Linked DNA regions of Struthio camelus. The protein of the gene in region 1 interacts with the protein of each later gene in a biochemical or structural test. Links are inferred from orthologs where the notes say so. Each region holds a gene or a part of one and is shown in the gene's direction. Other genes may lie near its edges. The genes, in order: FOXA2 and OTX2.

Region 1 (14,581 bases):
ATTTCTAAAAGACCGTGGTATAGATGATACCCTGTGTCTTGGATATACAGGATACGTAAGGGATGGCAAAATGTGACTTCAGAAATGATACCCAATTCATGTGCATATCTGCTGGAATCAAAATCTTTCCAAAAAATCCAACCGCTCTTTGCATTTTTACCAAGAATATGACTGCTCTTTGAGGAATCATTGCATACAACTTTGCACAGGTGATGTGCATCTGCAAAACACAGCCAGATAACAAGCAAATAATAGCAAGAAGAGCAAAGCCAACTGCATGCGATTTCCTATGGCTGACTTCCTTGATTCCCTTCGTGAAACCCAGCAGGGGATCAGTTTTCTACCTGCTCCATAGACAAGTTGCATCAAATGGCTAAGAGTATCTAGAGTATGTCCATATTGATGTTATCTGTTTCCTGATGTAGGAGACCTCAGAAGGATGGGAAATCTCTAAAGAGGGCAGCAGAATCATGATCCTGGGCACCTTCATAGTCCACTAGTCTAAATAAATCTATAGGAAGCCTGGGGGAAATTCAGCAGAATGTAGGATGCATGTGGCTAGACTTGTTCAGTGACCCTTATGTGGCAACCAGGTGATGACCTGGAACCAGCAGATATCATTCCAGTATTAAAAAGATTAGATACCCTTGGACTCTTGATAAGATATTAAAATTACAAAAATTTTGCATACTCCTGACTCTTCCTTTATTAGACTTGTTAAAGCCTTGGAAAATATTTTCATGAATTAAGAAGCCCCATTAAATGTTGAATCTAATTAGGAGAGACTTGGCTGTAGAGTTCTTCAAATAGTTAAGTAAATATTATACAGTGTAATTGTACCAATTCCCTGGAGGTGCCGCAGCTGACTTTTTTTTTTATTATGTAGGTAACTCAACAGATACGTGAAAAATTCTCCTCACCATAGAATGACACTTATTGAAACAGTTCCCATCTGCATCTCTGAATGATCAAACAGTATTGCTTCCTGACATGCCCAGTAGAAATTACATTACACTTCAGAAACTTTCAAAACATCTTCAGAAAGACGATCCTGAAATACTTTTATGAAACAATACTGAACACTGGCCTTGTGATTACAGCTTTGGACTGCCATGCTGGAGATCTGGTCTTTTTTCAGCTTTGCCACAAGACTACCCAGAGGACTTTGGTGAAGACACTCAGACTCTTTAGCCTATCTCTCCATTTCAGTAATGTGGATAATAATGATTCCATTATCTATTTTGCTTGTTTGGTGTGAAAGTCCTTCGGACACTCCTTGGGACACTACTAATCCAACAGAGTCACTTGACCTTACAAAGAGCTACTTCCAAGGATCCTAATGCAAAAACCTATGAATAAAAAAAATGACAGTGAATACTGCGGATGCCACATCTCACAGTGGCAATCACAGCTCCCCTCACTCTGTCCCAGCTCCACCGCTAACTCTTCCCTTTCCCAAGCTGAAACCAAACTGTTGCTTCCCCTGAGTGCAGCAAAATTCAGTGCAGCCTCTTCCTCTAGTACCTCAGTACATAGATTTATCCATAATTTTCATGCCTTATCAGGGAATGGCCTCAATAAAACCGGGCAGTAATTGCTGTCCCACTGTACAAGCATACAAGGATATCTCCTTTCCTGCCTGGCTGGCTAGTGAGTTGTCTTTTGTCTCTAACAAGATCTGCAGCAGTGTGGACTCCTTTTCCTTGTTATTACTAAAAATGCCTCCTTTCTTCAGGGCAAAGTCTGCATTTCTATCTCGCAGGACAGTCAGTTCCTCAATTAAAGAAAAAAAAGAAACTAACACATTTATTTCGAAACAGGAGTGCAATTGGGAGAGTTCATTATATTGGATTAATTACGATAATTATCAGTGGAAGGGAGATAATTACTCTGTTTGTTGCTGAGAATAAGGTAAGGGTTTCTTTTTTTTTTTTCATTACACCATTCATCCTGGTTTTGCAGCGTGAGTGGCACACTGGAAGGTAAATGCAAGCACATGGATTTTACTCTTTTCCACCCAAGCAACACCGACTTTATTGCTGCTCAGCGTCCAACTGAGTTTACTTGCTTACACTTCTGCTTTCCACCAAACCGCACCTGTGAGTCTCAGGCTCAGAAACATCCCCTCTTTCCCGACAAACGCGTCTTATTCAGTTATGGAGAAAGGCAGAAATGGCCTGCCCTAACTCTTACAGCAAATTGCTTTTGAAGTCTAGAAGCCTCCTCGCAGAAGAACTACTGGTTTGTAATGCCCCCGTCTCAGGGCTGCAGGCAGCTGGGAGGAAGGGCAGGGGCAGCACCAACAGGCTTTGCAGATCATGGGTTTAGACAGGCAACTTCAGGGGGCAACTCATTCCCTTCTGGACTGGTGTCTAGGATAGGCTGAGTGGCTCGCTGGCTAGAAGCGCCCATCCCTTCCTACCGACAAGCAAGGCAATAGGATCCCTAGCAAACACAGCTGATGTCCCACCTTGCGCTGGTGCACAAGCGCTTCTGGATGGGCCATGATCTGCACCTGCTCACAGCAGCCAAGAGCATGTGCTCTTGCTCCCTTTCTCTTTCATGCACATGAGTTTATGTGGCAAGCGCTTTGAAAGTAGTGAAGTGGATATGTCCGCTGTCCTCTTGGCTGGCAACCAGCAAGCAATGGAGATTGCCTCCAGCAGTGCCAAGTGCTTTCAATACTTTGCTCTAGTTGCTGGCCTTCTACCCCCTGAAAAGGAAGAGATGGCTCTTTGAGTCATGACTTCTAATGCAAATAAAAATGCAATTTAAAAATCAAATTTAAAATAAATATTAGTTAAATATTAAAGAGGAGAAATAATTTTTAAATAGTCTACGTATTTCTCAATAACCCAGCCAGATATGTTTAAATAAGACACCACAGAAAATTTTCGGTTTTTGTTATCTTTGGTATTTTTAAGAACGTTTCTTATAAGGCAAGCGTGCATATATATATATATATATATATATATATATATATATATATATATATTTTACTCCTTCTTTTTCCTCTCTTAAGATATATGAACTTTAATAGGTTTCCTCAGGGTAATGGTGTGGAAGGCTACCCTTGTGAAAAGTGAGAAGGTAGAAGCTGTAGGGCCTGGTCTGCCTAAGAAGCAGGGATCCCCCTTTGCTGACTTACGTGTCAGTACCCGCCTAACCACAAGCACAATTTCTAGCCACATTCAAACAAGCCACCATTCTTGAACGTCCGCCTGCATGAATGCAAATGATTGCATATCTCAAAAAGTGCATGTCTTTGTTTCACAAAGCCTATATATCAGCACAAGGATATGGTTGCTATAGACTCTTGCAGACAATGTATTCCCTGAGACGTGTATGTGAAAATACTTGGACGTGCAGACTGGGAAAAACACCCCAGTTCCTTGCAAAACCAGTTCCGCATATGATGATGAAGATTACATCAACTGGATGAAGCTGAAAATTAGACCAGCTAGGAACTTAAAAGACTGCAGGTGACCAGGTCTTTCATTATGTTTCAATATATCTTTTGACCTCTGTTTCGGAGTAGCACTTCAAATAAAACTTTTCTATCTCACTCAGCCACTGGCTAGGAGGTGCACATCTCCTAGTGATAAAAACCAATACAGAATCCTTTGCAGGTGTAAACAGGAGGGCGAGTGCCCTGGCTGCATGGTCTGACAAGTGCCTGTTAGCAGGAGAGACATCCAGGCAGGTGAAGAAATCCATGGTTGAATATTTTCAAAGTGACCTTCTATGACCTGCAAACACCTCAGTTTTCACTGACTCATGGAGATCAGAGACTCTTCCACTCTCTACGCTTAGCTCTTTTGCTTCAAATAGAATAAAATCTCATCTCTATGGGTGTGAATCCAGAGGTATTGCTCCATGTGTAATCCCAAAACCCATTTCCCATACAGCAATAATCCTAATTCAACCCTCTGAAGAGGCTCATTTTAGGTTTGGGCATCACTGGTGCCTCCTTTCAGCCAGCAAAGAGGGGTTTTGAAGATACATGAACTGTCCTCAGATTTGAGGTCAAATTCTCCCACCAGGATGAATTTCACCCCACATCCTTTAGAGTCAGGAAGGGTGAAGCCAAAGATTTCTTTGCACCATAAAGCTGCTTTCCATTTCATGCACACTCCAGAAAGTGCAGAGAGGGATGAATCACTCATGGAGCTGGAATACAACAGAAATAGAAATTAAAGTAGATACATATCTGTCTAAATCATTTTCATTATGTTTTACATAGCCAAGGTGTATTCTACAGCATATATCAACCTGAGGAGGTCAAAAGTCTACAAGAGGAAAGCTGAACACTAAAGCTCCCTGAAGTTCATGGGAAAGTCTACATTAACTTCATCTGGCTTTGCAGCCAGCAATGGCAAAGGGAGCTTCCTTTCTTTAGAGCATCATGTTTAATTTCCTTCTGAAACAATGGGGGGCTAATGCTGATGGATTTACCCAATTTCCCTGTCAGGGAACTTGCATGAAGGTGCAGAGGGCTCCCACATAGAGCATTTACATGTTATTCCAGAGAACTGTGAGGGAGAAAATCACCCACATTTTTCCCTTTTTTTTTTTCTCCAAATGATAAGGGAGGCTTTGAGACAGAGTGAGTTCAACTCTTAGTTGTTTTTCTGAAAGGAAGAACCGTGACCCTTTTTGTAAACGTTTCCCAGTAGCCAAGGAGGAAGTAGAAGCGCAGTATAAGTCTCTGGAACCATTTACAGGATGAGTATTACGGCTCTTTCACTTTCCAGGTGACTCTCTGGCACTGCATCCATCATATCCGTTGATGTGGACCTCAGCAACCCTCTATGCAAAACAGGGAAAAGAAAACAGAGATTAACAGTCAGAAGTCCCCTGGGCTGCTGAAAGAGGAGCTTGCATAAGGAGGAAAAAGGCCTCTGAAAGTTCCTGGTGCATTTGTCTTCCACCCAGCACACTTAGTTGATCCTTTCTCTGGTCCTGAGTGAGTCCACTCTGCAGAGTGTGCAGTATGAGAACCTACAGGGATCTACTTGATCCTCTCTTCAAAGCATCGGTTGCTGATGCTCTTGGGATGAATTGGATCATGACTTTTAAGCAGACCTCCATGCCGATCTGCAGGGGGTGCAGAACTCAGGCTGCGATGGCTCTTGAAATTGCCTGCTGCAACCAAGCAATGAACCACAAAATCTTGGTAGAGAGAGAAGGATCTTTAGGACAGAAAAAGTAGTTTTCTTCTGAATTTATGATTTCCATGTATAAACATCAGAAGGCAGCCCATGACCAGGTTTAGTAGTGGAGCAGGCTGCTGCTAAGCTCTGTGTGAGGGGAAGCAGGAGGGCTTCCGAGAGCCTCTCCACATCTCACACTGCACTGAAAGGTCATTCATGTTGCAGGCAACTTCTTTTGCTTATAAAGGTTTCAGGACCAAGTAAGTGATCTTTAACATGAGGAAGAATGAGAGAGATTTGGATAGTGGGGAAAGTCCATGAAGCACCTTCATGGGAGGTGCTTCATGTAATAACCCAAGAATAATAAGACCAAGAAGGAAAAGCTTGATTTAAGTGACAGGACTGGAGCAACAGCAGTGGGAACATCCACTATAGCCCAGGCGCAGCCTGAAAGTAGATTATCTTAGGCAAAAATTTGAATGAACAGTTCAGGACTCTTGTGAAAGTAATTCCCCTTTGTCACTTTGCAAAATGTCCGTGCATGGGAAGGTGACTGGAGGTAGAAAAAAATCATCTTTTGTGGCAGAAAAATTCAAAGTCCTGCTAACCAGAAGGGAAACCACACTTAATACGAAGTAGTGGTTAGTGAGAGACTTGGACTAGTAATTCTTGAGCCTGCAAAGCTTTGTATGTGCATTTGCCTCCTGTGACTGTTCCTGGTGAGGTGACAGACTTAGAGTATGTTCACATCTGTGCCTATGCAGGGTCAAGGCCTGAAGGCAGGTGAGTTTATTGGCACTAGGAAATTCTCCGTATGGCCTCTCTCCTCTTCCCATGGAATTCAATAGGAATTTCACTGTTAAATCCAGCAACGTTGAAAATACATGCTCACATCCTGCACTTTGTGTCCGCAGGGGAAAAAATGATGCTAAAACTAACCACAGGTTGCCCTAAATGACTGAAGTTAACTGCAAATGAGAAGCTGACTGGATAGGATCTTTGAACTAATGGTATTAGCAGTATCTGGAAGAAACTTTGCTAATTTTACTGAATTCTCCCTTTCTAAGTCTTTTCACTCTGCTATGGGATATTCCAAAGGAACAAAAAGCCCTGTTAAAATGCATAGGATTTGAGATAATAGTCTCTGTATCCCGACCCATCCTGAAGGTAGAGGCTTAGGCACAAGTTCACACTTACTGTTAGGCATAAAGCTAAGGTGCCTAAATCAGGAATAAAATCAGCCTGGGCTCTGTCCATAGCCAGGGAGACAAGGACAACTGGAGAGAAATGCAGAACTTAGGGGTGGAGAGGGATGTAAGAGAGACTACACAAAGTCAGATGAATCTAGCCCAGGACCTTGTTTCGGACAGGGACCCACAGCAGGTGATTAATGGATGAAAGTAAGACACAGGGCACATGCAGAGTATTCCTTCCCTGGGAAAAACTCTTCTCTCTTCTGGAGAGGAGTGGAGAAGGCATTCGCTGGGACACTGTGACTAGGAGACCTACCCTGTACGAATTCACCTATGCCCTTTTTGAACCCATTTACCCTGTTGGCCCCCAGAAAATCCTGCAGCAGCGTGCCCGGACCATGTAGTTGCGTTGTATGAAAAGAAAAACAAACAAACAAGCAGCTCCTATCCTTTGGCCACCGTTGCGTTGTCTCAGTGTGTCAGGCAGCCTCAACAGCCAGTTCGGTCTCTTCGCGCACGCGAATGATGCACAGCCCTCTGCAAGGGGCGCGGTAGGTGCCGAATTGGAAGGCTTAAAAAAAAATCATAGGAACGCTTGCACGTCTGCAGAGAAGAAGGAGGGGCTGAAGGCCACCCAGGGAGAGGCAGATAAACCCCCTTGACTAGGAAGCTGTGACAAGATTTCTCCGGCCCTCCGTAAATGAAAGGCAACAGTTGCAGGTGCCCTTCTGAAGGGCCCCAGAAGAAGGGGGTCACGGCATCTCGCCGGAGGGATTTGGGATGTGTGTCCCCCCCCCTCCCGCGAAGCCCTCCAAAATTGGGGACAGCAAGCGACAGGGGGCGCGCCGCCACCATTTTTAACCTGCAGGACACAAGGGACAGTCCGTTTCCAGCCAGAGGGACACCCGGGCAGCATCACTCCTCTCACTTTTTGGTGTAAAATACTATTTCCCCGTTGTCTCAGCGTCTTGCCAAGCGATTCCCTCGGTGGGCAGAGGCGCATCCTTGGGTTGCGTTCTCAGTCTGGAGCCAAAAAACAGCTAATCGATCCCCCCCCCCCCCGCCAAGTATGGGCAGAAAAGGGTTGTGGTGACAGGAGGCGGATCTGCCAGGTAGCTGGCCTGAATATCGCGGTAGCTATCGCGATAAGAGCATGCCCTCCCCGAGCTGATGTTTTTTTTTTCGTTTGGAAGCGGCTCCTGAAGGCGCCGGAGTCTTGGGAAAAGTCTTTTTAAAGACTTCCTCTTAGTCTGAGTTTCCCTTGGTTAAATGAAATCCTGTTCTCTGTTGGGTTTGTATTGATATTTAGAAACTATTGCTAACCTTCGCTGATTGATGCATTTTTCCGTTCGGGAGGAAAAAAAAAATATTAAAAGAAGGTCAGTGATTTATATTTTTCCATGTGTTTTGAAGACAGATATAGCTAGATACAGAAATAGAAATATGAAGCCGATTGCGTGTAGAAAAAAAAATATACAGGAGAAATCAAGGCAGTAAGGTGTATTTTAGAGTCTTTTGGGCAGGCAGATTTACACTTTGCAATGACAGCTGCAGGATGCTGCTGGAGGAGGAATCGCCCGAGGGCTGGGAGGTGTTTGGCCACCAGACGGTGGTTTTTCCTCTTTCCTCCGTTTCCTCTTTCCCAGGGAAGGATCCGCTCAGTCCCTACTGGACCATCGCATTAAATCATTCTCCACTTGGTGGACATCGCCAGGAGCAAACGTGCCCGGCAGCACAGAGGGAGGTAGCCGCTGGCGGAGCAGCGGGCTGCCGCAGGGAGCCAGGAGCCGAGCGGGTTTTGAAGCGGGCTGATTTTTTTTTGTTGTTGTTGCTGTTGTTGTTTTGCTTTGTTTTTTGGGGTTTTTGTTTTTGTTTTTGTTTTTTTTTTTTTGGTTTCCTCGCCAGTGATCATCCCTCCTTCCTTCCCGCCGGCCGCGGCTGCCTGGGGAGCCCCGGCTGTGCCGCAGCCCGGCGGCAGGAGCGGCGGGACCCGCGGCGGCGGCGCTGCCCCCGGCCGCCGGGACCCCGCACGGCCCGGGGGCTCCGCGGCGGCGCCGACCGCCCGCGCAAAGGAGGCACCCGGCCCCGCGACGGCGCTTTGCCTGCACCCTGCCGTCCCCCCACCCCGCCTCCCCTCCCTGTTTGTTTTAGTTACGAAATTGTTGTAGGTACCTGAGCCAGCAACCTTGGGCCGGGCTGCGCGGCGCGGCGGAGCCTAAACGGCGGCTGCCGGCCGCGGGCGCCTCTCCCCGCACGTCGGGCCGAGCCCGGAGATGGGGCAGAGCCCGGGCGCCGCCGGCCGGCAGGCGGCCTGAGCCGTCGGGGCGGGGAGCCCGGGCCCCGGGGGGGCCTCCTCCGAGCAGCTGCGGGGAGCAAAAGGTGCGTGGGGCTGGGGGGGGGGGAGGCTGGGCAGGCGGGGCGGGTGGGGGGGGGGATACTGGGAAGAAGCTGCCGTCGGGGCTGCCGGGGGCGGCGGGGAAGGCTGGAAATCGGCTCCCGCAGGATTCCCCCTACGGAGCGGGGAGAAGCGCGGGTGCCGGGGCGGGGAGGGGGGCGAAGAGGGGGGAGACGACCTAGGGGTCGGCCCGCTGCCCCAGCGGTGCCGCTGGGCCCCCCGGCCTCGGCGGCGGGGCGCGGAGAGGTGCTCGGGGGGCCGCGGAGGAGCCTCTCCCGCCTAGGTGTGAGCTGATTATTCAAATGGGCAGCCGAGGACCTGGGGATTGGAGGCTCGCCCGGCGGCTCCGTGCTATATCACTCGGGCACCCACGTCACTGCAGCACTTGTCCTCCTCTTCCTCCTCCTCCTCTTCTTCCTCCCTCCTCCCTCCTCCTCCTCCGGCTCCTCCATCGCCTCCGGGCGACTCTTCGCCGCGAAACGCTGAGAAAACCCACCCAAGCAGCAGCAGGGAAAAAACCCCAGCCCCAGAGCAGCTCGATCCCCCCCCCTCCCTTCCTCCCTCCCTCCTCTTCCTCCTCCTCCAGAGGCTCAGGCAGAGGGAGCGCAACAGAGGGGAGGGAGGGCTGGGGACTTTTTTTTTTTTTTTTGGGTTGCTCTCTGTCGTCGTTTGTTGTGGCTGTTAAATTTTAAACTGCCATGCACTCCACTTCCAGTATGCTGGGAGCGGTGAAAATGGAAGGCCATGAGCACACGGACTGGAGCAACTACTACGGGGAGCCCGAGGTAAGGAGAAAGCCGGCGCTGGCGGGCGTCTGTCCCGCCGGCCCCCGCCCGCCTCCCCGGCCCCTGCCCGGCCCGGCCCGGCCCGGCCCGCTCCCCTCCCGGGACACGTCCCTCCGCTGCACCCGTGTTAGCCCTGGGATAATATTAACTCGGTCATCAAATATTGACTTGAGGAAGCTCCGGATCCTCTGCCTGCCCGCAGCCGCACGCACGCCGGCCAGGGCTGTGCTCGGCGCTGGGCAGCGGGCGCCGGCGGGGGGGGGGGGGGGGGGGGGGGGGCTGGGGAAGGTAGGGGTAGGAGGGAAAACATCGTGGTGCAAAGGTTGGCGGGCGGGGGGGGGTATTTTGGGAGGGTGTGTCGTGAGCGTCCCCCCCCCCCTCCCCGGAGAGGCGAGCAGGGCGCGGGTGCGTCTCGGGGAGGCAAAAGTTAGCGCGTTCAGGGCTGCATGTCGCTTTTTGCTCTTCCTCCCTTCCCTCCTCTCCCCGCCGGGTATTTTTTGTCGCTTCGGGCAGGGATATCCCTTCCTTTTCCTTCCAACTCCGAGGCTCGTTTCCAGGGACAGGTCTATCGATCTTGTTGCAATCTCTTTCTTTTTTTTTGTTTTTGTTTTTGTGTGCGTGTTTGTTTTTTTTTTTTTTAATTTTTTTCATTAACGAGCGTTTCAACACGCAGGAGCTTTAACCCTTCCCACCTCGCCGGGCAAGGTGCTCCGGGGCTGCAAAAGCTCGTGTGCAAGCGGCGATCTGGGTTGGGGCGGGGGTCTCCCCGTACCGTTTCTGTGCTTGGGGGGGCTGCCATCGCCCCTGGCAGGGTTACAAGTCTACCTGTTCCCCATCCCCCCCAAATCTTCCTCTCTCTCATTTGCCCTTGTAGAGCTACTCCTCGGTGAGCAACATGAACGCGGGGCTGGGCATGAACAGCATGAACACGTACATGACCATGTCGGCCATGAGCACCACGGCCAACATGACGGCTGCCACCTCCATGAACATGTCCTACGCCAACACGGGCATGAGCCCCTCGCTCACTGGCATGTCCCCGGGCACGGGCGCCATGCCTGGCATGGGCTCGGCCGGTGTGGCAGGAATGGGCACCCACCTGAGCCCCAGCATGAGCCCCATGGGGGGCCAAGCCGGCTCCATGAACGCCCTGGCCCCTTACACCAACATGAACTCTATGAGCCCCATCTACGGGCAGTCCAACCTTAACCGCTCTCGGGACCCGAAGACCTACCGGCGGAGCTACACGCATGCCAAGCCGCCCTACTCCTACATCTCCCTCATCACCATGGCCATCCAGCAGTCACCCAACAAAATGCTAACGCTGAGCGAGATCTACCAGTGGATCATGGACCTCTTCCCCTTCTACCGTCAGAACCAGCAACGCTGGCAGAACAGCATCCGCCACTCGCTCTCCTTCAATGACTGCTTCCTCAAGGTGCCCCGCTCCCCAGATAAGCCAGGTAAAGGCTCCTTCTGGACACTGCACCCTGACTCAGGCAACATGTTTGAGAACGGCTGCTACCTGCGCCGCCAGAAGCGCTTCAAGTGTGAGAAGCAGCTGGCCGCCAAGGACAGCGGTGGGGCAAGTGGCGGAGCAGGCGGCGGGGGCAAGAAGGGGCCCGGGCAGCCACCCAGCCAGCCGTTGGGGGAAGGCAGCTCCTCAGGCGGCTCTGAGGGCTCAGCTGGTGCTGAGTCCCCTGCCAGCAGCTCGCCGTGCCAGGACCACAAGCGTGCCCTGGCTGACTTGAAGGGCACGACAGGGCTGAGCCCCGGGGAGCCAGCAGCCTCTCCAGGGCAGCACCTCCTGGCCCCCCAACACGCTGGCCTGCCCCATGATGCCCATCTCAAGCCTGAGCACCACTACGCCTTCAACCACCCCTTTTCCATCAACAACCTGATGTCCTCCTCTGAGCAGCAGCATCACCACCCTCACCACCACCACCACCACCACCACAAAATGGACCTCAAGGCCTACGAGCAGGTGATGCACTACTCGGGCTACGCCTCACCCATGCCTGGCAGCCTGGCCATGGGACCTGTAACGAACAAAAATGGCTTAGAGTCCTCCCCTTTAGCCGGAGAGACTTCTTATTACCAAGGTGTGTATTCCCGGCCCATCATGAACTCCTCCTAAAGGGGCAAGGGAAAAACCTCCCCTCACAAGGGGAGAAAAACCACCCCACCCCAGCCCCTGCGCAGTCCCCTAGCAGAGGGATGGACTATGAACGCTGTTGAGCACGGTGCATATACATATATATCTATCTATTTTTTTTTGGTTGGCTCCAGATGTTTGCATCTGTTTGGGAAACAACTGATGTGTGTCATGCAAGCATCTCGACCCACGCCAAAGGCAGGCGTGTTGGTCCCCGCCGGCCAAAAGCCACCCATGTCCCGGGGGACCGTGATTCCCTTGGTTTACTTTGTGGGGTGGTTTGTTTTGGTGGGGAGGGGTGGGTTGGGGGTGAGGGGACGGGGAGAGTTTTTTTTTGTTGGGGTTATTTTTTTTTTCGTTGTTGTCGTTGCAGGGAGGTATAAATATATCTATTTTTTTGTGTGAAAGTGACGGGGAAAAAAAAACAAACAAAACGAAACCCTACTTCAGTGTGAAACCTACGCTAGTTTTGAATCCGAGGACCAAAAGTCTTGTAATGTTGTAAAAAGGAGGAAAAAGAGGGGGGTAAAAAAGAGAAAAAACTATGAAAAATTAAAAAAAAAAAGCAAGATAGATTGTTGTAATTGAAGCAAACGCTTGATGTTACCGGGAGAGTAAACTACTTGGATCTGATTAATTTATCGTTTCTGTATGCTTTATTTATGGCTTATAAATGTGTATTCTGGTAGCGAGCAGCCAGATTTTCACAGAACTATATTAAAGTGTTATTGGCGGTTTTTTTTTTCCCCCCCCCTTGCATCTCTTTTCCGTCGGGACTCTCCTCCTTTTTTCCCCGCCGAGCCGTCGGGCCGGGCTGGGCGGCCGGGCGCGCCCCGAGCCCCAGCGCCCCGCGGCCGCGCAGGGCTGCGCGCCGAGCGGGGTCACCGGCCGCCAAAGCGCCGGCTGCATCGCGCCAGCGGCGCGGCCCTTGCGCCTCGGCTCCGGCCGCTCGCAGAGGCTCAGGCCCGGTGTCCGAGCCGCCTCCGCGCTGCGTGACTTCAGCGAGCGCACGGTCAGGGAAGGGGCAGCCCGAGCGGTGCCCCCCGCGCCGAGCCCCGCGCATCTGTCCCGGCGAGGGAAAAAGTGGCCTAGGAAGCCGCTTCCCCCCACCTTCCCCCCCCCCCAAAAAAAAAAAAACCCGGACGTGAGGGGGAGCCGCAGGCCGGCTGGGGCCCGCCTGGCCGGCCGGGTCCGCCGCTCTCCGCCGGCTCCGACGGGGGAAGCGGCGGCGGCGGGTGGCGGGGCGCTGCCGCGGCCGCGCTTCCCTGCGCCCCGGGGCGCGGGCGAGCGAGCCCCCGCCGGGCGCCGCGGCTCGCTTTCCCTGGGCAGAGCGGGTGCCCTGCGCGGCAGCGTGGGAAAAACAAGCCCGGTGCCCCCGCTGCCCTGCGCAGCCCGGGGTTTGCCCTGCTTGCAGCTCCTCGCCCGCGCAGTCGCCTGGATTTTTCAGCGGGTAATTTTATTTAGGAGGAAAGGCGGGGGGATGGGGGGTGGGGCGGGTGTCGGAAATACAAATGTATCGTTGCCCTTTCCTCCGCAGAAATTGGGGAAGCCGGGGAGAGGACAGGCTGGCCCCGCTCCGGGGGCCCCGCTCCGGCTCCGCGGCCCCGTCCGCCGCCGCGGCTGGTGCGCGTTCTGCCCCTCGGCCGCTGCACACTCTCCCTCCGAGGCACCCCAGGGGCTACCTCTGCTTTTGCAAAGGTAGGGAGAGCCGGGGGTGGGTGACAAATCGGCAGCAGCGGGCTGCGGGGGGAGGCTTTTTTCCTTTAAACATCTCTCGGCTGGTCTGAAGCCGGCGCACGCTCCGGCCTTGGAAGCAAAACGTTTCTTCTGCCGAATCAACACCCCTCAGGCCAGCCCGGTGGGTTTTATTACTATTTATTTTTTTTCCCCCTCCCTGCCATACATATTCTGCCCGTTTTCCCAACCACTTGTTGTTGTTCCCACGCGTTTAAGGGAGTAATAGATGTTGCTTTCCGAAATAACATTCAAATCCTTCTTAAAATTCCGCATTGTTCGCGGAAAGAGAAAAGGGAAGAAGGGAGGGGGGAGGAGGAGAGGGAGAAAAACTTCCAAAAACAAAACAAGGATCCAGCCAGAAATCTGTCCGTCTCTATACTGCAAGGACACACACGTTGTGAACCAAGGCATAAAATGTGTTTCATTAACACATAAAAGGCTCCTGCAGGGAAGGAGAATAGGCGCACGGAATGACACTGATTTGGAAACAATGCGCCGCGCCTGTGATGGTCTAACCTGTTATGTTCTGTATCACACGGCCATTGTTAAATGGTAGTTTTAAACTACTTAAGCGTCTTCCACTCCGCTGATCCCAGCAGATCAGATATAGCTCTGTGCGAATACATAAAAAGGGTGTCATTTGGACGCCGGCTCGAGAAGCAGATTTTTTTTTTAACATTCCCCCCCGCTTTTTTTTCTTTTTTTTTTCTTCCTGTGGCCTGGTTCACGCTGAAATCCAGGACTGGGGGACTTGAGGGAGAGGGAAAGGGGGGGGGGAAAAGAAGACCACACTACACATTTCTTTTTCTTTATACCCCCTTCCCATTCTCGTTCCTTTGCCCCCCCGCCACAACCCACCCTCGCCCGCCCCCAGCCTTACTACAAGTGCATTCTGCTCCTGCCGGTTTAAGCAACCGTGATCTGTGAATAAACAAAGTCAGTAAACAAAAAAAGGGGGAAAATCTAGATCCAAATTCCAGGAGGGTAAACTTTCAACACCACGTCATACTTCAGCAAATTTACACAGATATTATATTGCGTCCCTTTCCTTCCCCCCCTCTCCTTTTGAGCCATTGTGCTTAACTGAATTTTATAAAGCTGATCGATATCTTGGTAAAATATTCATTTTTAAACTAGCGGGCAGTGAAATCTTTGCTTTGTGC
Region 2 (14,560 bases), on another chromosome or scaffold:
AAAAGTGCGTAGCATGCATCGCTTTCCGGCGCCGAGCAGAGATACAAAGATGACAAATAATAAATCGGTTCATTCTGGGCTTCGCTTGCCTCCTTAACTTTCGCCTAACCTGAATAAATGATTTCTTTCTTTGTCATAATATACAAACCCAGCAGTTCAGCGCGATTAGCCTGTTGGGCAATACACACAGCAATAAAAACACTTGCGAAACGGTCGCGTTAGTAAGAAGAGTTGAAAATTACACCAAAGGAAGAAAAGTAAACAGAGAGAAAGAGAACAGACAAACACATCTATGCAGAGAGAGAAAAAAAAATGAATGGATATGTAACACAATTGGCATCGGAAGTTCAGAAACTTACTGAGAATCAGAAGTTACAGTTTCTTTTCATCCCAGAAGCAGATTTTGGTTCTCTGAGTACAAAGTTCTTAGAGTGCAAATCACACATATCCACTCACTCCCCGTTTATCCCGAGCTAGTCTCGCTCTCTGGGACTGTACCTGCTCTGAAACTGTTTCCAAAATGAACAGAAGAGATTGGAAAGTTTAAAAAAAATAAAAAAATTAAAAACCGCAAGTTCCTACAGCTGCAGCAAATTTTTTGCAACTTTTCCATTAGCTGCAGAAGGCTGAAGGCAGAAGCAGCTGCAAAGTCTGTGCAGAATTCCTCCAGAAAGAAGGTTCCCCCTTTTTCCCCCTCTCCGATCCAATCTTTGCAAGAGCCATTCCAACACATTGCTAAGCTAAAGGGAAATTCTCTTTGATAAAGCGGTGTTCCCAGCTTCTGGGTTTTAAAACCTAAATCTATATTCAAATCTGGCTGAAGGTGTGTTCTGGGATTTATGAAAGCCTCTTAAAGGGGTAAATTTACCAAACCGTGACAAAATCATCACAATCTTACTTTAGACATCTGAAGTGGATGAGAATTTTTAAAGAGACCCTTGTTTATTTAAGTAACGCTGGCCATCTCCGCCACTTGTTTTATTGGCCGCGCGAATTATCCCGAACTGGTGCGGCGGGAGGGCGGAAAGGGGAAGGCTGGGCTGTCCCTCGGCGGGCCGCGGACCGGCGCGGAGCCGCCGCCCGGCCGCTGCCCCCGCGGCGAGGCAGCGCGGCCGGGCTCGGCCAGGGCTCCAGCCGCGGCCGGCTGCCGGGGCTGCGCTTCCCAACCTGCTCTCCCGGCTCCCAGGCACTTTCTCAGGCACTGAATTTTATTTTTCAGCCTCTGCCGCAGCCCGGCTTCCTCCAGCCCTGAACACCCCTCCCTCCATCCCATCCCTTCTCTCTATCTTTTTATATATATATATATATTCTTTCCCTCTTTATTTTTAATCGATTTCGAAAATACCCTCCTGGTCAGGATACACGGGAAGGAATTATCTCTCTCATTCTTCCAAGGTGGATTAAGGTTATTAAATAATATGTGGGGGCGGGAGACGATGGCAAAGGACGGGTGGTGGGGGGGGGGGGGAAGGGTCGAATCGGGATATTTATTACTGTTGCTCTACTAAAGGGGAGGCTGAGGGGTGGCGGGGCCGTGCCGACATGCGGGGAGGTGAGAGGGAAGGATTTTCCGGGGGAGGTGAGAGGGAAGGATTTTCTAGGCACGGCTCTCCGAGCAAGTTAGGGGTGGGGGGAACTGCAAAGGGACGGGGATCTGCAGCCACCGCCGCAGCCTCAAAAAAAAAAAAAAGGAAACAAAAAAAAAGAAAAAAGTGTCACAGCTCTGGGAAAAAAAAAAAAAAGAAGAAGCTAAAAGCAGTGGAGGCGCCGCGGAGGGACGGGCTCAGCGCGGGCCCGGGCCGCCCCCGCGCACAAACTTTCCGCGGAGTCGCGGCGCGGCAGCGGCCGGAGCGGGAGAAGCTCCGCCGCGGAGCCGGCGAGGGCTGAGGCTGCTTCGCTTTTGTTCAAGGGGTTATTTTGTTTGTTTGTTTGTTTGTTTGTTTGTTTAATTCCCCCTCCTCTCTCCTCCCTCCGTTCCCTTCTCTCCCCCCCCCTCCTTCCTCCTCCTCTCTGTGAAGGGGGAAAAAAAAAAAAAGGAGTCGAGCATCCGAAACCTGCTCCTACAAACCACGAGCTCGGGCTGCACCGAAAGCAGCCCTTAATTGCGCTAAGTCCAGCGACAACCGCATTTGATTGCACACCGCCGGGCTCAGAAAGAGCCACAAAGAGGCGAATTAATTACTATAACTTCATTAACATAGGTTGCCACATTAAAACGATCGAGCCGCTTCATTTTTTTTCTCCGCTGTTGTCGGAAGTGAGGAAAAGTGTGTGCAAGGCGGTTGGCGGGGGGCTGATCTCTCCTTCGCTCCGAGCTGAAATGCCTCCCACCTCTGAGATCTTTTAGTTTTTCTCAAGGGTTGTTTTAAGGGCTGGTTTAACGGGCTGCGCGCTATGGAAGGGGAAAAGTTGATGGCAGAGATGGGGCTGAGATTGAGCCCGTCCCGCGCCCGCCGCCCTCCCGAGCGGCCCCTTTCCCAATTTCGCCGCGGTTTTGACCGCGGCTAGAAGTGGGCAAATATTCCCCTTCAACACCCTCGTCACCGCTCCTCTACCCCTTTGCTGCACTGACTTTATTTGTCTTAAAATCTTTGCCTGCCCGTAACTACAAATGCAACGCGCCTCCCCAGCATTGTATACCAGACATGCACATTTATATAAATAAATAAATAAATATATATATATATATATATATATATATATATATAGTATGTATATACATACACCCCGGGATGGCTGATGGCTCATTTCCCCTGGCTACCCCTCGCCCTGTGGCTGCTTGCGCGGCCGCGGAGGCCGGGCCGGGTCCCCTCGGGCTCCGCGCGGCCCCCGCGGGGCTCTTCTCCCCCCCGCTCCGCGCTGCTCCCCCGATGGGCTCCAGGCAGGCTCCCCCCCTCCAAAAAAAATGTTTACTTATATATTTTAATATCTTTTGTTGTTATTATTGTGCCCCCCAGCCTTGTGCCACCCCTTTCCTTTGCCGGGCAATACGGGAACGCGATCTCTGCTGTCCGTCACGTTAATTGTACAATGAGTTCATAAGCTCCGGTCCATAATGTATATTTTTAAATCGAGCAGGTTCTTTTAATGTATATTCTCGTGTCATTTCGGTGGCTGTTATTTCTCGCTTGATTGTCCCCCCGGTACAGCAGCGGCCTGTTTTTTCCTCCCCCTGTTGTGTGTTTTTATTATTTTCCCCCTGGCTTAGATGTGTCAATCACTCTCTCCCTGCCATTGGTTGGAGAGTTTGCGTCAAAAAGTTGCCAGAGAGGCGCTTTCTCAGCAAAGCTCCCCGAGAGAGGTAGAGACCTCAGCTCCAACGCACCCTGCCACTATTATTAAAAATAAAATCGCTTGACCAGCTCCGGCACCGGCTAGCTCTGTATGTACCGAGCCCAGACCCCGAGCATCCCTGCATCCCTCTCCTGCACCATCCGCCCTTTCCTCCCTCATTTATTCTTCTTTTCCAAACATTTTTTTTTTCTCTCTCTCTCTCCCCCCCCCTCCAATTCGGTGGGCATGTGCACGATGCGAGCTCTCTAACCTCCCGCTTTGTGCTTTCTCTCCCAGCTCAGCCCGACCCTTGAATTCGGCGAGGATCAGGGGGAGCAGGCTGCACCCGGCGCCCCCCAGCCCTGCCCTCGGCCCCAGCGCGGCTCGCAGGTAAGTGAGATCCACCCGCTATTTTCCTTCCGTCGGGGGCATTTGCCGTCGGGCCTTTTCTCTCCGCGGGCAGGAAATTAAAAAAAAAAAATTAAAAAAATTACAATTATAATTTTTAGCAAGAGGGTGGGAGTGGGGGCCCCGCTCGCCTCGGCGGCGGCGGGCGGCAGGGCACAAGGCGGCTGCGGGCCGGGACGGGCCGGGCTGGGGCAGCCGCGGCCGCTCGGCCCTGCGCGGGCGGCGGGGCCGGCGCGGAGCCCTCGCGGCTCTGCCCCGGTGCCGGGGTTTCGCCTCTGCCCCGAGGGCATCGGCTTCATGAAAATGCAAGAGAGCGGAGGGGATAATTGCGGAGGCGGGGAGACGCTTCCCACGGATTTTCTCGCCTCGCTTTATTTTGCCGGCCCCGGGATGTCTCCCGTGGGCAGGCGGAGGTCGGGGCGGGCTGCTTTGCGCCGAGCTGGCCGTTCGCTTCTCTGCAGACAGGCGCGTTTATCCGCCGCCGTTTCGTTGAGGGCATAATTTTTCCGGCCTGATCCTTTGAGCTTTACCTCCTCCCCGACCCCACCTGGACTTCCGAAATTAGAAATAACTGGCAAGACATTTCCCGCCTCCTCCCCGTTTCCACCTAAGATGCTCGCTGCCCGTGCAGAGAGAGACTTGAGCGAAGTAATTCGGCAGAGGTGGCCCTGAGCGCTGCCGAGTTTGCGGCCGGAGGTTTGGGCAGGGAGCAGGAGGGAGAGACACGCGGAGGGCGTCGGGGGGCTGGAGCTTCGTGTCTCGGCGCGGGGCTGCAGCTGCCCTCCAGGCAGCCGCCTCCCGCGCTGTCCGGCTTCGGGAAGGCGCTGCCGGAAGACACCGAGTCGGCTGTAACGCGCGCTGCTCCGCGCCCCGGCCCGTCTCCTCTAAACACCACCCGGATCGACAGAGGCGAAATCCGCTCCGCGCAGTCGGCCGAGTCCTCGTGTACAAGTTTCTTTAGTGCTATGCAGGGATTTGTTTCTGTGTGGGACCCTCCGAGAAGCTGAGCTTTATTATTATTATTATTATTATTATTATTATTATTATTATTATTTTTAAATATGCAGCTCCCATAAAAAGCAGTTAACAACGCGGTCTGGCGGGGAGGGAGCGGTGGGGCAAACGGTCCAGCAGCAGAGGTGCTGCCGGCGGAGGCCGGCTCGGCCGCGGAGGTGCAGGCGGCCGCGGAGCCGCGCGGAGGGCCGGGCTGCTGAGCAAGGGCGCGCCGGGCTCCGCCGCCGTGCTGGGAAATAGCACAGCGCATCCCTCCCTCCGAGAAAAAAAAAAAAAAAACATTTTTCATTTTTTCTTAATGCGGTGGAGCCAGGCGCAGGGCTGGAAAATCGAGCTTTTGCTAGTGAAACAAGCAAAAAAAAAAATTACTTTCCTATCTCTGCTCGTGTGCGCACGCTTTATGCCCCCCTCTGGCCGCTGCCCCGCGGCGGGGCGAGCCCGGCGGGGCCCCCCCGACGCCCCAGCTTCCCCGCAGCTCCGGGAAGGGCAGAGCCGGCGCTGCCCCTCGCAGCAGCCGCCCAGCCCGGCCGCGTTTTGTTCCCTCGCATTAATCAGCCCGAGTGATCAGCAGAGCCGCGGCCGCTGTCCCGTAATTAGGGAGCGTGTGCCGCCCGGATTATCTCGTTAGTTTATCAAGAAAACATTTATTATAATTAATTCTTGGACGGGGTAATTATTATTGAGCGAGGGCAGAGCAACTGGTAGCCGGGATCTTTGCGAAAGCCGGAGGCCGGGTGGCGGGGGGGGAGACGGGGGAAAGGTGACAGATTGCGGAGCGGAGCCGTTGCTCCGCGGCGGCCCCGGGCTGCGCGGCCGCGGCCGAGCGGCGGAGAGCGGCTCCGCGGGCGGCCGCGCTGCGCGGGCGCCTCGGCGGGCCGCGGGCTGGGCGTGCTGCCCCTAGGTTTAAAAGGCCGTTTGGTCTTTTTTGTTATTATGATTATTTATATTATTTGGGGGGAGGGTGGAGTTGCTTGTTTGTTGGTTTGTTTGTTTGTCCTTTAAGGGAGCATCGCAGTCAGCGTTGCTCTCCCGCGCAAGCCTGCGCGGCCGAACGCGTTCGCGGCCCGAGTTGCGCCGATGCCGGTGCGGAGCGCGGCTCCCACCAGCCCGGAGCTGTCCCACTTCAAACCTCTCCCCCCCCCAAGAACTGGGGGTTAAAAGCGGGGATCGACCCTGGGCCGAGCCGCGCTAGATGCGCGCCGCCTGCGCGCACGTGAGTTAACGCCGGCGTTTCGCAAAGCGGAGCCTGCCGAAGCGCTTCCCCGCGGGGCAGGAGGGAAACTTTTGCAACGCGTTTAAAAACGCCGGCGGTGGGAAAGGCGGAGGGCGGCGGGCCGGGGGGACGCGCAGGGCCCCTCCGCCTGCGCGCAGCCCTCCGCGCTGCCGGGGACGGCGGCTCCCACCGCCCGCGGGCTTGCTGGCCGAAACGGGGTGTGCGCGGGAGCAACTTTTCCCGCTACTCGTTTTGTTTTGTTGTGGTTTGGTTTTTTTTCCGACGGTCGCTGCCAACGGAGCGAGATTTGGGGGAAAGAAAAAAATAAAAAAGAAAAAAGGGGAAACAAGTAAATGATTTGCCAGGGGAAAGGAAACAATTTAACCCTTGGAAGAGCCACGAGCTGGCCCCTGGCCCTTTGTCCGCCATGCTTTGGAGGAGCCCTTGTTTGGGGGGGGGGGGTATGTGGGGCCCGACCCACCGCCTCCCCCCCGGCCGGAGCCCCCGGCGCCGAGCGGGGGGACCCGGCGTCCCGGCCGGGCCGCGGGGGGAGCCGGGCCGCTCAGCGAGGTGTTTGTTTAGCTTTAGCTGCGTAATCAAGAGTTTCTTGAAAGCCTAATAAATCTGTTACTTGCCTCCAAATCTAATTACCCGCAGTACTAATTAGGTGCAAATGGCCGGTGGAAATTACTGCAGACGTGGAATGATCGCGGTAGAGCAGAAAAGTTTGGCTCTTCCCGAGCGGGCATTTGAGCTCTGAAATGCAGCAACGTCGGGGGGAAAAAGGGGAGGGGGGGGAGAGGAGGTTTGAATGTTGCCCAAACCTGGGATAATTAAAGTCCTTGCAAGAGACTAGGGGAGAGATAGGTTTCTTGAATTGTTTCTTTGTTTCTCACCCTTGGGCTTTGTTATCTGCATTATTTATTTAGCCGAGGGGTTCTTTGTGTCTGCGAATGGCCCCAATCAAGTTTTGCTTGAGACAATTAGCTAGTGCCCGGCCGGGAATCCTATGCAAATGCCCGGGGTAGCGATACAATGCGAGCAGTTGAAGGCATGGGGGGGTTTTGTTCGGCTGCAGAGCGGGCTGCAATTACTGGATGGGATGTTACAACCCCCCCGCTGCCCTTCTCCTCCTTGCCTTTTTTGGGAGAGATGCCGTTTATCTAGTCAGTCTCTCCCTGGCTCCCAAAGCCGGCTGCCGGGCCGGCTTTTTAAGAGCTGAAGGACTGGCCGGGGGAGCTGCGGACTCGAGCCAGGCGAGCGGCGACAAGCGACAGCCCGTCTAACCCCCCCCCCCTCCCCACCCCGCTCTCGCCCGCAGGCGCCCGGCGGACCCCCGGCCCCGACGGCAGCCCCGGCCCCGACGGCACCGCCGCCGCCTCGCCGCCCGGCCAGGCAGGGCCCCCCTCGCCCGCATTTTCGGCCCGCTCTCCTCCTCCCCACCACTACTTTAGCATGATGTCTTATCTTAAGCAACCACCTTATGCAGTGAACGGCCTGAGTCTCACAACCTCAGGCATGGATTTGTTGCATCCCTCCGTCGGCTATCCCGGTAAGCCACGTTTTTCTCCTTGCTTTCCCCACCACCAATTCCTCCTTTCTCTTCTGGCCCCACGGATGTCCCGAGCAGGGCAAGAGGTCAGGCCTCTGGAAGTGGGGGGCACAACATGCCCAGGGACCACAACCCCGGGGCTGATGGCTGCTGAGGACAAGGGTCCCTTTTCCGCCCTCCCTGAACTCTTTAGCCAGGAAGAGGGTTGAAAACAGGGGGCGGCTTCATGCTGGACGTGGATGTTGCTGATCCAGGTCACGGAGGAAAGATGGGGAAGGTGCATCTGAGGTGGCACGGCTGCAAGGAGGCAACCGAGGACCTGGATGCGGGGTGGGGAAGGCCCTAGAGAGCTCCTTCCCCTATGGGGGGCAGGTCACCCTAGGAGCCACCTGCCCCCCTGCGGAAAGGCCTGGGGGAGCGGGCTGGAGGGAGGGCAAGCTGTCCGCCAGGCCCAGGGGCACCCGAATGACAGCCGGGGCCGCCGGCTCCTCTTCGCAGCCACCCCTCGGAAGCAGCGGCGGGAGCGTACCACCTTCACCCGGGCGCAGCTCGACGTGCTGGAGGCGCTTTTTGCCAAGACCCGCTACCCCGACATCTTCATGCGGGAGGAGGTGGCGCTGAAAATCAACCTGCCCGAGTCCAGAGTGCAGGTAGGAATCAGGATGTCCTCGCCTCGGACGTCCCTGCCTCCTGGCCACCTCCGTCCCGGTGCGCAGAGGCCTCGGCCGCTCCGCCGCTGAGCGGGCAGGTGGTGATGCCGATTTAGCGGATGAGGCCAGCCCTGGAGGGATAAAAAGCCCAGAGTTTCTTCCCTATGGGGCCAGGGAGGCTGGTAGACGGGTGAGGGACGGCAGAGAGGTTGCAGGGGCGACAGTAGAAATCTGCCCGTCCTTGGCTTGAGTCTGCCCTCCCCTTCCTCTCCGGGAAAGGGACGTGTGTATGTTGCGGAGGTCTCCAAAGCACCTGGATCCCAGCTCCTGAGCTCCTGAACCCTTCCCGGCACCCTCGGTCTCTGCACCTCAGGGAGGTGTCCCCAGCATCCCCAGGCCCTGCAACAGGCCTTGGCCCAGGGGCCAGATCCTGGCCCTTCCCAGACTGTCTTGCAGGAGTTTGGGGCCGCCGGAGAGGCAGTGAAGGCTCTCCCTTCCCTGGGGATCCCACCGAGGGATCCCACATCCTTGGAGCTGGGCCAGACGGGGATCCCATTTCATGCCAGTTCACACTGGGGCTTCCTCTCTCTCCAAAGGGACTTTGATTAGAGAGAAAGGCGGTCTTGCAGGAGGGGGAGCTTCTCCTGAAGCTGGGCCGTGTCTCCTCCAGGAGCATCCTGCAGGCGTCCATCCAGGGAGGGTTTCACTGGGTTCTTGGGAACCTGCGCTCCCCCGTCACAGATCCCGGGGACACTTCTACAACGAGCACCTGCAGCCAGGGCAGGGCAGCTCCAAAGCCCTTGGCTCTCCCCGTACGAGGTTTCCCAAGGCCCTGGTCACCCGATACGCGTGCGGCCGTGCCCCACCTAGCAGGTGGGGACCTGGACTCCCCCCCCCCCCTTACTCAACCACAGGCTTTCGCACTCACTAAACCCTAACTTTCCCCTGCAAAAGCTCCCCCACCGCAGGCATGGGAGCAAGGATCCCTTCCTGCTCACAGGCAGCCCCCGATCCCAGCCCACGGAGCTTGAGAGGGACTGGGGGGGCCGACCCCAGCTGGGGGGGTGAAGAGCAGAAACCCTATTTAGAGAGTAAATGAGACATCTTTAACCCCCCCCCCCAACCACCACCTCTGTTTCCCTAATTGTTTCCTCCCTTTATGATGCTCTATTGTTTCTAATTAAGGGCTTGACTTCAATAGGCCTTAAATGGTGATTCCTGGGGGTCCCCGGCTGGCAAACAGCAAATAGGGAGTGATTTCCCCCCCTTCCCCCAAAAGTGACCTTATTAAGCAGTTTGATTTGCCCATTTCCACTTGTTATTACTGCTAATGATCTCAGGGAGGGGGAGCCACGGAGCCTTTCTCTGCAGTAGCCTGCAAACCTCCGCACGCTGGGGAGAGCTTTTGCTCCCCTCCAAGGTCCCCCCTCGGCCAGCTCTTGCCCCCTTGGGTTCGTGCCGTGTCCCTAATACAAGGCTTCTCCCTCTCCCTCCCTCTCTTTGGGTCTCAAGGTGTGGTTTAAAAACCGTCGAGCCAAATGCCGCCAGCAGCAGCAACAGCAGCAGAACGGGGGCCAGAATAAAGTGAGGCCGGCCAAAAAGAAGAACTCGCCAGCCCGGGAAGTAAGTTCGGAGAGCGGGACCAGCGGGCAGTTCACTCCCCCCTCCAGCACCTCGGTCCCCACCATTTCCAGCAGCAGTGCCCCCGTGTCCATCTGGAGCCCAGCGTCCATCTCCCCGCTCTCAGACCCCCTGTCCACCTCTTCCTCCTGCATGCAGAGATCCTATCCCATGACCTACACCCAGGCATCAGGTTACAGCCAAGGATACGCTGGCTCGACCTCCTATTTTGGAGGGATGGACTGTGGATCTTATTTGACCCCTATGCACCACCAGCTCCCTGGACCGGGGGCCACCCTGAGTCCCATGGGTGCCAATGCCGTTACCAGCCACCTCAACCAGTCTCCAGCCTCCCTCTCCACCCAGGGCTATGGAGCCTCGAGTTTGGGCTTTAACTCAACCACCGATTGCTTGGATTATAAAGACCAAACCGCCTCCTGGAAGTTAAACTTCAATGCTGACTGCTTGGATTATAAGGACCAGACGTCGTCGTGGAAGTTCCAGGTTTTGTGAAGGCCGGCGGGAACCTTTGTGATACCCCGAGAAACCGCGACGAGAACGAACACGCTGGGCTGAACATTCCCGTTTTAGTCAGGTCTTGGTTAAATTAAAGAGAAAACAGTTCAACGAACAAACGGACAAACGAATGAACAAAAAAAATAATAATAATAATAAAAATAAAAAGAGAGACAGTGTTGGTGTGATCATATTCAGATTCATCTCCTGCTCAGACGCTCTGGAAAAGGAATAATAAAGAGGAAACGGAGGAAGAAGGCCTTAAACGGACAGATCATCTAGTGAGCAGAAAACAGACAGACCAATCTGTGTTCTTTATAGTTTTAGGCAATTGTTGGGTTTCTTTGTCTGAAAGAGGTGGAAGATCATTCCATCGACGGGCCAGTTTTAAAAAAAAAAAAAAGTCTAGGTTTTTATTTCTTTTTGTGTGTGTGTGGAAAGATCCTTCACCCAGAGGTTTCCAATGTGTTAGCCAACCCTTGGTTAAAATATTCGGAATGGACAGCATCGCTCTCCGTCTTTCTCTCTCTTTTTCTCTCTCCCTCTTTCTCTCTCTCTCTCTCCAGCTCATTCAACTGTTTCATGCCACTTGCTCAAGTTGGCGCTGAAAGAACTCGGTTCAGGGCTGTGTGGGTTGTGTGACTGATTGTCCTAGCTGCACTACTTTATTTAAAGAAAAAAAAAATAATGTTCATAAGGAGTCAATATGTAGTTTTTAAGAGACAATCAGTGTGTGTCTTATATAAATGGTACATCTGTGGTTTTTAATCTGTGCTAGACTTCAAAACTGTGATCTCCTGTATTGTATGCAACTACGAACACCGCGCCAGCGGGAGTTCTGCTGTGATTTAAATAGGTTATAATTATAAGTGAAATTCAGAGCAACTGGGGTACCTATTATCATCTTAAAAAAAAAATAAAATACAATATATGTTAAAAAAAAAAAAAGCGATCGCCTTTCGCCAGAGGTGAACTGCACTGAAACTTTTTACAACAAACTGTCTCTGAATGAAAGAGAAAAGAATGAAAAAAACACCCAAGGACATTAAACTCCTCTGTAGTTAACTTACTGTTGGCCACGCTAGCAGTAACAATAAAATAAAACAGGACATTGGGCAGTTGCTCTGACCTGGATGAATTTAAACTGAGAAAATCATTGTCGTTTATGCTTGCAGATGTTAACTGAAGAAAAAAAGATATATATGCATAAACCTTTTTTCCTGGATTTGGCAGATATGTATAATTATATTAAAATGGTTCTAGCACACTTGATTGTTGTCTTCCATTTTAATTGTATCCAGTGAGTCATAGAGAGGGGGCAAAACAGTCTGCGGCGGAGATTTCTTGTTCAAAGTGAGGTTAGCGGGGACAGGAGGAGCTCGCTTGTTCTGCAGGCCAAGGCAAAGGCTGCCCGGCTCTCCCCAAATTTTCTAGCCCGGTTCCCCCTAGGTGCGTTTTGATTTGTGGACAGTGAAGAAAGCGCAATGAGATTTTTTTGGTGTGTGGTTTTGTTCGTTTTTTTTTTTTTAAGTAAAAAACGTGCATTTCAGCCAGATCTGGGCTAGCGTGACCCGGCCCTCGTGCCAAAATCCCATCCTTCGTCGGAGGCTGTCTGGAGGCGAGGGCAGGTATTTGCTACCTGCGTCCCCACGGGAGGCGCGAGTCGCTGGACGCCTTGAGGGACATCCCGAAAACTTTCCCGGCAGGAGAAGGGAGCACCTGGGAGTGATTGCGGCGGAAGTCGCCTCCGCGCAGAGGTGCTGGGGAAGGAGCAGGGGCAGGCTGCGACGGTTTAATTTCCCGAGCCGAGCGCCCAGTGCCCCGCGACGCAGGGAGGGATCAGGCCCCTTGCAAGCGTGCCTGCTCGGGGTGGCTCTGCCTGCCTCCTGCTCGCACATAGCTGTGCACCTCGGGTCTGGATTTAGCCCCCTTAAAATGCAGCAAAAAACAGACTTCTGGGGAAAAAAAAAAAAAAAACAGAGAGAGGGAGACAGGGGGGAAAAAAAAAAAAAACCACGGAGGTCAGCTTGCACCTCCGCGCACCCACCCTGCTTCCTGCGCCTGGGCGGCTCAGGGGCCAGCGGCCCCGGAGGTGACTGTCGCCTGCCCGCGGCAGCGCCCAGGGCCGCCGACGGCACCGCTCGCCCGCGGCGTCTCCTGCCGCTGCCCGGCGGCGCCCCGCGCTCCCTGCGCGGGCTGCGGCCCCTCGGCGGCCGCGGGCGCACGTGGGCCGAGCCGCTCTGCCGGCGCCCGCGCTGCCCTCCGCCTTGCCGCGCGGCCCCCCCAAGAGAAAGGGGTGCAGCGACGCGATCCGGCTGCGGGCGAAGGCGAGTGTGCAACGCCGCTCCTTGCTCCCGTTTTTACCTTCTCTCTCCTTTCAGGCCGGAGACTCTCGGCGGGGCAGGGTTTGCAGAGGGCAGAGCCCAGCGGAGGCTTTCGGGCCCTTCCCGAAGGACGGGGGAAGCGCCCAGCACCTCCCGCGGCCACCGACGCTCCCCCGCCGCCGGGGCCGGCGACGTGTGCCGGTGCGGACGGCGAGACGCGGCCCCGCCAGCAGGAGCTCCGGCAAAGCAAAGCGTAAAGTTTCGGTTCTCCGCCGCTTTGCCTTAAACCGGCGAAATGTAACCCAAGGGGAGCGGCGTAAGCGAAACAGCCGCCGGGAGAAAACCCCTCCTCGCTCCGGCGGGATGCGGCTCTACACCTGCTCGGGAAAGCTCTTTGTTTTGTGGGCTTTTGATTATTTTATTTTTTTAAAGAAGTCTTTTAAAGATCTCGTTTTCTGCTTTGCTTTTCCCATCTTATCTTTTCCTTTTCCTTCCCGAGCAGCTCCATGCCTTTCGGGGATGAGCTCTTTTGACTGAAGCTCTTTTAGCAGAAACACTGATTCATTTAAGGATTTTCTCTTAACGCGGCCTCGCATTTAGCACTTTCCATATTTCCTCTACCTGTTTGTTTCTGATTTTAATTTAAATGGGCGCTCACATGGGCAAAGGGCAAAATCCCAGGGTGACTGGCACATGCAAAATAGTATTTAAAAAGTTTTTTAACTCCTTTTTCTTTTCTTTTTTTTTTAATGTTTTAGATCTCCCGCCTGGCTAAACTCATTTCCTCTGAACCTCAATGTGGGAAAGGGAATTCTGAATTAAATAAAATGAGTGGAAAAGCTAGGGGGACCACGTCTGCTGAGTGTTGCAAAGCCAGATTTAGGTGCAAACCTCTGAGTGGACGTGTGTTCATTTGCTTTGAGGTGACCCTCTTCGTCCCTCCAGAAAGAGAAAATACTAAGCAAATCTCTCCCAGTTTTGCAAGGTGAAGTTTCCCACCAGAAGGAAAAAAAAAAAAATCCAGCTCCCCAAAAACCAGAAAAAAGGAGGCAAGGCTTGACCGCCAGCAGCTGTAGCTGCCTCAAGCGCTGCCTCCTCTCCCCTGCCCACCCTCTGCCTGGGCTTTGCTTGATCACTGCTCACCCCTTGCCTGCTCCCCCTGCCCGCTCCCTGCCATCCCCTGCCCGCTCCCTGCTGACCCCCTGTCTGATCCCTCCTCAGCCCCTGCCCAGTCCTGCCCACACCCTGCCTGCACCCTGCTCATCCCCTGCCCGTCCCCTGTCTGCGCCCTCCTTGCTCCTGCCGACCCCCTGCCTGCACCCTGCCTGCTCCCTGCTCATCCCCTGCCTGCTCCCTCCTTGCTCCTGCCGACACCTTGCCTGCTCCCTGCCTGCTCCCTGCCCGTCCCCTGCCTGCTCCCTGCACCTCCTGCCTGCTCCCTCCTTGCTCCTGCCGACACCCTGCCTGCACCCTGCCTGCACCCTGCCCGTCCCCTGCCTGCTCCCTCCTTGCTCCTGCCGACCCCCTGCCTGCACCCTGCCTGCTCCCTGCCCGTCCCCTGCCTGCTCCCTCCTTGCTCCTGCCGACACCCTGCCTGCACCCTGCCTGCTCCCTGCTCATCCCCTGCCTGCTCCCTCCTTGCTCCTGCCGACACCCTGCCTGCACCCCGCCTGCTCCCTGCACCTCCTGCCTGCTCCCTCCTTGCTCCTGCCGACCCCCTGCCTGCACCCTGCCTGCTCCCTGCTCGTCCCCTGCCTGCTCCCTCCTTGCTCCTGCTGACCCCCTGCCTGCACCCTGCCTGCACCCTGCTCATCCCCTGCCTGCTCCCTCCTTGCTCCTGCTGACCCCCTGCCTGCACCCTGCCTGCACCCTGCTCATCCCCTGCCTGCTCCCTCCTTGCTCCTGCTGACCCCCTGCCTGCACCCTGCCTGCTCCCTGCACCTCCTGCCTGCTCCCTCCTTGCTCCTGCTGACCCCCTGCCTGCACCCTG

Evidence for each region.
Region 2: the proteins of FOXA2 (region 1) and OTX2 form a complex in vitro, tested with the Homo sapiens proteins (2 studies listed by BioGRID). The link is inferred for Struthio camelus from reciprocal best matches to the Homo sapiens genes FOXA2 and OTX2.

What each region holds. Positions count from the first base shown.
Region 1 is NC_090944.1:146,428,141-146,442,721, reverse strand, and holds FOXA2 (hepatocyte nuclear factor 3-beta), read left to right. Parts: upstream 1-8,980; 5' UTR 8,981-9,439; coding exon 9,440-9,526; intron 9,527-10,400; coding exon 10,401-11,663; 3' UTR 11,664-12,413; downstream 12,414-14,581. UniProt on the Homo sapiens protein: Transcription factor that is involved in embryonic development, establishment of tissue-specific gene expression and regulation of gene expression in differentiated tissues.
Region 2 is NC_090946.1:78,852,659-78,867,218, forward strand, and holds OTX2 (homeobox protein OTX2), read left to right. Parts: upstream 1-7,363; coding exon 7,364-7,460; intron 7,461-7,958; coding exon 7,959-8,110; intron 8,111-9,622; coding exon 9,623-10,243; downstream 10,244-14,560. UniProt on the Homo sapiens protein: Transcription factor probably involved in the development of the brain and the sense organs. Can bind to the bicoid/BCD target sequence (BTS): 5'-TCTAATCCC-3'.